Linked DNA regions of Nothobranchius furzeri. The protein of the gene in region 2 interacts with the protein of the main gene of each other region in a pairwise test. Links are inferred from orthologs where the notes say so. Each region holds a gene or a part of one and is shown on either strand. Other genes may lie near its edges.

What was found.
Region 1: the proteins of pex12 (region 2) and pex10 interact in a two-hybrid assay, tested with the Homo sapiens proteins (4 studies listed by BioGRID, with this or other methods). The link is inferred for Nothobranchius furzeri from reciprocal best matches to the Homo sapiens genes PEX12 and PEX10.

The regions. Positions count from the first base shown.
Region 1 is NC_091755.1:45,336,509-45,340,849, reverse strand, and holds the start of pex10 (peroxisome biogenesis factor 10), read right to left. Parts: upstream 2,865-4,341; 5' UTR 2,624-2,864; coding exon 2,512-2,623; intron 1,587-2,511; coding exon 1,506-1,586; intron 1,428-1,505; coding exon 1,015-1,427; intron 477-1,014; coding exon 310-476; intron 228-309; coding exon 92-227; intron 1-91.
Region 2 is NC_091758.1:14,500,514-14,505,076, forward strand, and holds the start of pex12 (peroxisome assembly protein 12), read right to left. Parts: upstream 2,933-4,563; 5' UTR 2,762-2,932; intron 2,690-2,761; exon of another isoform or gene 2,687-2,689; 5' UTR 2,569-2,686; intron 2,358-2,568; 5' UTR 2,335-2,357; coding exon 2,212-2,334; intron 2,136-2,211; coding exon 1,600-2,135; intron 70-1,599; coding exon 1-69. UniProt on the Homo sapiens protein: Component of a retrotranslocation channel required for peroxisome organization by mediating export of the PEX5 receptor from peroxisomes to the cytosol, thereby promoting PEX5 recycling.

The DNA.
Region 1 (4,341 bases), on a different chromosome or scaffold from region 2:
TGAAATCAGTCAGGTGTGAGAAGAATCTGACAGTAGCTGCAGAAGCTTCTGATCAGATCTGAGAGTGAAAACCTGCAGATGGAAGCCGGACCTTGGTGTTGCACCACTCTGTGATGCATTCCCAGCAGAAGAGATGTCCACAGGGGGTGGAGGTAGAGTTCCTCCTCGCCTCCAGGCACAAGATGCAGCGAGCAGCTCGTGGGTTGGAGCTCGGTGTGCGCTGAGGGCTGAAAACACAAATCAGCACTTTCACATCAGAACATCGAGCTCTGCGCTGTAATCAGAGAAGGTCCGGGTTCGGTTCTGTACCTGAGCTTCCTGTGGAGCTTCCACTCCTGTCGAGCTCTCTGCCTCCGCCTGAAGTTCTGGAGCTGCAGGCAGACGGAGACGAGCAGCTGGAGGAGGGAGACGGTACCCAGCAGTCTGTAGCTGCTCCGGATGGAGGCGTCTGTGCCACCCGGCCCCATCACACGCAGCTACACACACACACACACACACACACACACACACACACACACACACACACACACACACACACACACACACACACACAAATCTAACGTTATAGAATGAAAACATCTTATTTTGTATTAATTCATAAAATAAACTTAAATTAGGATTTGACATTAAAGACCAACTTTACTTGTATCTATCATACACCTGCACTGGTCTACAGCAGGAGCTAGAAACAAAGCTCTGGCGCCTGTTTCAGGAACTAGAAGTGAGCCACATCTGAGTTGAGCTTCAGACGGCAGGATTTATTACTGACTTGTGTTTTAGGATAAAACCACATTAGATGAACCGTCTCCTTTTCGAGAGGGTCCTTCTAACTTACAATAAGTAAATTTGGAGTCTTACTTCCTGATAGCTAATGCAGGAGATAGGTGTAGGAGACTATTTCCATGTTCAGCCTGCATGAAAACTCAGTGACTTGAGTATAATCAGAAAGAATCAATAAAAAAAATCTTTTTCCTGAGTTTTATTTTGGTGGGGAACTTCCTGCCCTTGACTCACATATCGGATCCCGGCCGCCCGCTTTGACAGCTGATAAAACGAGCTGCTGATGTAGAAGAGCGCTACATGGAGGCGGTGCAGCAGGCCCACGCTCTGCTGGATCACAAACACCGCCGGCTGCCACGCCCTCTTCTGAGGCTCAGTCAGCATGCCCACCGCCTTCTGCACCCCCCTCCTGAGCCACCCCTCCAGGCTCCACCCCCCGGATGCCGCATGATGCCGGCCGATGGCCCTGCGGTGCTCCTGCTCGCCTCCCAGCTCATTCTCCAGGCACACCAGGACTTTGTCGAGGAGGTAGGGGAGGAAGGTGTGGAGGAGGACGAAGAGACCTCGTCTGGTCCGGGACGGGATCCGGCGTCTGGTCGGCTCCACCTGGATGATGTGAACGTACTCCTCACCCAGAGTCTGATAACCTGCAGACAATGGAGATGCTCACATGAAGAAGTTTGATTCTTTGGATCAAGGTCAAGTTCTGGATGTCAGCAAACCACCTGAGAGGGTTGTTAGACCAAAGTAAACGATGTCAGATAGCAGCTCCAGCTCCCTCCTCCAGTCCAGCCATCGCTTAGATCCTGAAGGTAAAAGCAACAGTTACAGGCTTTTATTCTGAAAAGACACCTCGTCTGTTACTAACAACCTGACCCAATGAGCGTTTTTACTGATCACAGGTCGTGCTAGAAGAACTCCTGAATGATGAACAAATCTTTAAAAACGAAGGAAACAAAAACGTTTAACATCCGCCTGGTTCTGGGCTTCCAGCGGCTACAGAACCGGTTCTGGTCCGGGTGTGATGAGGCTTTGTCGTTTGTCCCATTCTCTCTGCAGACAAAACAGAACCGGGTCATCCTCTTCAGTTTGGGTTTTACCTAATTTTCTTTATTGGAGATGGGTCAGGACATCAGCAGGCAGGCCCGTCCGGAACCAGAACCCTTTTCTCTCTCTGACTAGATAATCCTGCCACCACAGAACATGGACCAAGTCCGAACCATCTCAGGATCTACTTTTGGACTTGGCGCCAACACCATCTGGATCATCCTCTCCACTTTGGTCCAAGGAAAACGACACCTCCTGGAATGGATCTGGAATGCAGATCCATCTGATCCAGTTTGGTTCTGGTCCATCCCAGACGGAGTCCTCTGGAGCGGGTCGACACCAGCCTCTGGTTTTGTTGGTGATGGACGGATCTAAAGTGTTTCATCATTTTTTAATCTTAAAAAGAACAAAACTGACTTTATATTTGAACCGAATCTTGATTCCAGATCATTCGGACCTTATCTGCTCCGACAGGAACGGCTGAGTTCGAACTGCACGAAGCTGAGTTTTTGTCCTTTATAAACACAAATTCAGGCTTCAGACTGAATAAAACTGTTTTTGTTGGTTTCCGGGAACGAGGTTGAAGAAACTTCAGCTGTTTTTGAAGTAAAAACTCTGAAAACCGACCCAACCATCCAGTTTACGGAACTTTAGCATCAGCACAAGCTAACCGGCCACACGAACCTGCGAGAGTCTGAAACGCTTCGTTGGACTTGTTCCTCAGCACGGTTCGGTAATATTCATCCTTCTGACTGGACCGGATCAGCTGGGCCTGGTTAGCCGGACTGAGAGGCATTGTGACCAACCGAACCTCAATCCGCAGACGGGATGATGCTCAGCGGTTCCGATCCGTTCACCTCCACCTGCAGCCGGTGGGTTCACACCGGGATGGGCTTCCGGTTCGTTCCAGAACCAACCGGTTTACATTTTCAGACTCAAAAAGCAAAACAAAAACAGAAGAAACGAGTCAAAATCCAACAGAGAAACAAAAACAACAGTAACTATTTCGGTTCCGGTTTCTTTGACTTCGTCTGTGTTTTTACTTTAGTGGTTTGAAAAACCTAAAGATGGACCAGCGCCTCCTGCTGGACAAAGTGTGTAGCAGGAGTTTCTATGTACTAATCATTGACGTGTCAGTATAATAATAATAATAATAGATCAATATTCATTTATTTTATTACAGCTGCAGCAACATAATGATGAGTAATAATTTATTATGATTTAGGGATGCACAATATATCGGTTATCGGCCATAACAGTGGTATTAATATCTGATATCGGTATCAGCCCCAAACATTTCATACAGGTGCATCATTACTATGATTATGTTTTGATATACCATCCGTGGCTTGAAGAAACAAGCCTGCAACATAATTTTAATGTATTTTTATTCATACACATATGTATATGAACTTCCTTTGCCATATTGTGTGTTTTTCACATCGACATATAAAAATATGGACATAGCCCCACTAACATGTTTGACCAAGCAGTTAAATGACAGCATTTCCCCCATTCAACCAACTAAATAAAGTACATAAATATAATTTTACTTGCTGATAAAAAAGGAGCAGAATCTGCTTGGATGGTCTGTTGGTGCCGTCAGTAACCACAGCTTGACCTGTTTGTCCAACTAATCCCATGATCAACACACACACACACACACACACACACACACACACACACACACACACACACACACAACTAAAGTTCAGAGAGTCGAAATGGCTGGACATCTATTAAGCTTGGTTTATGCTTGACGCATTCACTTTCCGCTTGGTGATGCGGCTCGCGGATGGAACGCGCTTCACAACTCGCAGCGTTTATGGTTCGTGCGACTCGTCTCTGCGGTGAGCCAATATTCTCCCAAACTGTAGGGGGCAGCATGGAGCTCTACGGCATGCATCCAACACTACACCATAGTAGAAGTAAAAATTACTGGTTACAACATGGCATTTCAGCATTTTTAACAGCGTTCTCGTCTTTTCCGACAGTGCGAGCTATTTCTCTCCAAGAATTATTAACAACATGTTGATCACGGTGATCTCTGAGAGCTGAATCATACAAATGTCTGTATTTACCAACCTCTGCCATACTAGTTCTTGCCGGTCCGCCATGTTTTTCCGCGTCCGACCGTCCGCGTGGTTAGAAATTTTCCGAGGTGCGCGTCGCGGAAATTCTGGGCCGTGCGGAGGCGCGGTGGAGGGGCGTGGTTGTTAAAATGACGCAAAATGATGCAACTTTTCCACGCGGAGCCGTGCAGACCTTGCGGACGCGTCAAGCATAAACCAACCTTTAGAGGCTGAGGCCTTTCCTCGGAGCTAGCTCTGAAGTCACGTGGCTCTGGTGCTCATTAATTATTCAGAAATGTTAAGCGTTAAATTCCACTCAAACAGAAGAGTTACAGTAAAATTCACCCTCAGAGTCATCATGAATGTAAACTAGATCTATTAAACCTAGAATGGGGGTTTGAACCAGGCTGTAAAGATGTTTATCTCTGCTGTAAAATGGACA
Region 2 (4,563 bases):
GAAGTGGAGAGAGAGATGGCCACCCCCTTCGCCGTCTGAGACACCAGCCACCAGGCTCGCTGCAACAGGCTGCAAACACACACGAACATTGACCCATCAGTCAGTACAGTGTTGCCCTGATCAAGAAGGCTCCTCCGGTTGGTTCTGATCCACTTTCTGGTCTCCACGCTGGAGTTTAGGAAGCGGTCGGGTTTACAGTTTTTCTCGATTCCTCACATTCTCCAAACAGTAAACACACATCCATAACATCTCACCCAACTTCCCAAACATCACATTTTCAGGTCAAAATGAAGCTCTACACTCAAAACCTTTCACTCTTGGTGAAAAACCAGACTTGGCCTACAGACATCACACACAAGGCCTCAAAAACACACACATTACAACATAGTAGTACACATTGTAGCTGTTGCTCTTCCACACAAACATTTCTACATGATGAACACGTGGTGCTCATGTAAGGTTTGTAAGTGGTTACTTTTAATAACTTATCTATAGAATATAAAGGTATTCAATACAATGTAATATTCCATTAAAGTATGGTTTATCAATATTAACCCATTCACTGCCAGCTGTTTCCTGATCACTAACGGCCTTCGCTGCCAGCGTTTCTCACCGTTTTTACTGTTTTTTTAAGAGTCACAGAACGTTGCGCGCTAGCATGATGTCGACGCCAAAACAACCAAAACAAAGAGGAGACTCACCTCTTACATCAGGAAGAAGCCGCGTGTTTCGAGCGTTATCCGTTCTTTCATAATCCGTTGTTGAATTGTGATCGGCAGACGCTTTTCCGGTTCGCGCCTCACTTTTTTTACAGAAACGGCCCAAAACGATCTCCTAACACATGGATGTGATGCTTCCTGAGCATGTGATCTGTGACGTATGCGGATGAAGATCGGCTTCAGGGCTGAGATGTTTGTTCTCTGAGCGCGGGGGCTCGTTGCGATGCTCAAACAGTAAAAAAATGCAAATGACGACTTTAGTCGTCAATGGCAGTGAATGAGTTAATGAACCTTTGATGTTCGATTGATGATTGTAGGTACTTTGGGTATAACATAACATAATGCCACATACACACACACACACACACACACATGTGGCTGAGACCGCGATGCTTTTATAACCTACAGCCACAGAGATGTGACAGGCTCAGCCTCGCCTCAAGGCTGCTGTGGCTACATCGTAGCTCATCACCATCAGTGTGTGAATGTGTGTGTGAATGAGTAAATGATACACTGTAGTGTAAATCACTTTGGAGTCCTTCCTCTGAGAGGCGCTTTACAAGTGCGGGTCATTTATCATTAATTTATCATTTACATGGGACCTTTCACCCATTGGTCAGACGGAGTTCAAACTGCTGTTGTCAATTAGTGTAGAATAATTTAGAGCTGAAGAGGGCGCTGGACTTAAGGTTTTAGGCTGAATTTTAAGTTTTTAAAGAAAATGCACCAAAAATAACAACTAGACATGTCTACAACACTACAATACACTTATTTATACAAGTTATCAGCAAAAAACCAGATTTTGGTGTGACTTTCTCTTTAATGAACTTAACTGTATTGGAATGTTTACGGTGCGAAGTCATAATCAAGAGTAAAGTACCTCTTATCTGCTGTGGGGCCGATGCTGCTCATTTTCTGCTCCATGACTCGAATATCCTGAGCACTGAGGCGAGCCAGCCGGACGTTGGCAAACCACATCAGGGGGCTGTGAGTCCTGGTGACCCCAAACACAAACAGCAGCTGCTGGCAGAAGATCCAGGCCTGCCAGGCTGAGCTGACATATGGGTAAGCTGCCACTGCTGCTCGATACAGCCGCTCTTTCCGGGTCTGAGCCAACCTGATGGAGAAGTCCTCCTCATCCCTCTGCCGTGCCAGCCTCACCTCCAGCTTGGCCCGTAGGTACGGAGCCAGGCACAGAAGAAGAAGAGAAAGCCAGCGGGACCTCCTGAGCAGACCTAGGTGAGCTGGAGGTGCCTGCTGGCCTGAAACCCTCTTCAGACCATAGAAGTTCTCCGAAAAGGAGGCGCTGCAGTGACGCAGGAAGTGGTTCTGGAGGATCAGGTCCAGCAGCAGGTACAGTTCATCAAAGCTTCTCCACAGGAAGCCAAAGTGAGACGGGTTGGATTCAGCCAGAACCTGCAGGGCCACAGACCTCTATGATGTTCAGAAAACATTTGTGCTTGTGCAGCAGAGCTGAGTGCAGCACACCTACCCTGACGGCATGCCTCAGCGCTGGTTTCACTGCCTCCATCAGTGACTCCTGGGCCAGAACTTCAAAAATGGAGGGCTGCTCACCGACAGCGGCCGAGGTGAGATGGGCTCCAGCCTCCGCCATGGCTGCTGCTACAGAACCGGGTCCTAAAATCCAAACCACTCTGAACTCAAACTCACCTTTATTCACAACAGGTCAACACAAAGTGCTGCTGTTCTGTAACATTTATATAAATTATCATGTCCGTTATGTTTGCTAGCACGAGTAAAGGTGGAATAAAGCGCTCTTCTGTAGAACCGGTGCTTATGATCACGGGAGTGTTTTAATGTGTGACTGCACACTTCCGGCGACACTCACAGGTGAACTCTCCTGGGTTCTCTCCCACCTGCAGCGGCACCACGGGCATGGACATCTAGACAGTACCCCTTCCGAACCGTCACCGTGCTAGTGGTTCCGGTCCATTGCGCGTTCAGACCTACTACAGAAACACATTTTTACAGGATTCTAAATAATTTAATGCTTTCTGTTTTTCAGCGGTGGACAAACTCACGTCCGGCTGTCTTCTCCGGCTGTTGGCAAGAAGCTAACAGCGCCGCGAATCCACGACAGAAGCGCTAAAGCTGCGTGAGACCTTGCAGCAAACGTCTGAAAGATTGTTCTGTCGCCGCTCACTCCTGTAAATTATTTACGTTATTAACCATTAAAGTCCATTCCAGCTGCTTCCGGAACCGGAACTTCTTCTACAGCTGCAGCGGAGCTTACCGCCACCTACTGGATGTGCGGGGAAGTGTCTCATTTAGGTTTCCTTTTTTCCAATTGTCCTCCAGCTCCATTAAACACGAGTGTTGGCAGCCATCAAGCGCATCTGCTGTCATTCTCCCGAGCTTCACCATTTAGTTTAACCCCTAGAATGCCAAGCCCTTTTAAAACAGACACAGGAATAAATATAATATACTTTATTAATCCTGCAGTGGTGGCGTTTACTCGTTTCAGCAGCACATACACATGGAGAAAAGGAAGCAGAAAAATAATATGATTACAGATAAGCACACAAAGGCTATTATTGTAAACTTAAAACACTAAAAACAACAAATAATAAAGGAAACTTGGGTTTCCAGAAATAAATGATAAATGACCCGCATTTGTATAGCGCCTTTCTGAGTCAGAGGACTCCAAAGCACTCTACATTACAGTGTATCATTTACCCATTCATTCACACACAGGTGGTGATGAGCCAATCAGAGAGCTGGGAGGGGGTGAGGCACTTTCCCGCCTTCTGACGATCAATAAAATGTAAGTTAAGTAGAGATAGGTCAGAAAGATCAGATACAGCAGTCTGTTATTGGCTCAATATTCGGCTTTTTATATTCACTCCAGTGAGACTTGATTAGAGTGATCCTTAGTTCCTTCTGTTGCCATGGTAAAAAATGTCAGTTATGTTGGTAGTTTTAAGTGTAGAGAGCTCAGAAAACCCAAAAACAGCAGTAGGTTATCGGCTCAGAATTAGACTTTCTACATTATTTCCAAGAGACTTGTTTGTGGTGATCCTTGGATACATGCGTTGCCATGGTAATCTATTTCTCAGAATCTGGTTAATTATAAGGTACAAATAAACCATGCACCCACACATATTCGATTGTCAATGGACATCAGTGTATAAAAGCGCAATCCTGTCCTGATGTTTGAATAGATTGTAACTAGGAAAATGGAGGCTCCAGCCCCTTCCGCCCAAGACTACATTAATGTGCACATCATAATTTACAATTAAACAGCATTAGCCCCGCTCAGTTGGCTTCATTAAGAATAAATAAATATATGATGCAATTTATACATCAATAAAAAATCATTTTGGTCAATAATATGTCTTAAAGAACCGCATTGACCTGAATATAGGACGAGGTTTTTTCATTGAAAATAATTTTAAATGTGGGGTCGTCTTATAATCGGGGTCTAAGCTTTCACACATGCCGATATTTATCTGGGGTCGTTACACGACCAAAACAGCAGAGGGCGCCAGGCTGTATGTTCTCAACCGGAGAAGAAAATGGAGACGGGAGGTCTGCAGCAGAGTGGATTGAAAGTGGGGCAAGTGAACAAGCTACCAAGGCAGAGATATGATGCTAATTTTAAGATGACGGTGGTCAATTCAGCAGAGGCATCAAACATTGCATGCATAGATGTATTGGATGGCAGTGAGGATGATGTTCAGTGGGAAGAGCCGGCAGGTGTAGCAATCTGATGGTATGGGACCTTAGCAGCATGAGAGTGAGTGAGTACAGCAAGGCAGAATAAAAGCCTCATTTGGCTCCTCTGAATAATCAGAGGTGGAGGACTCAAACTTACCTGGATGTC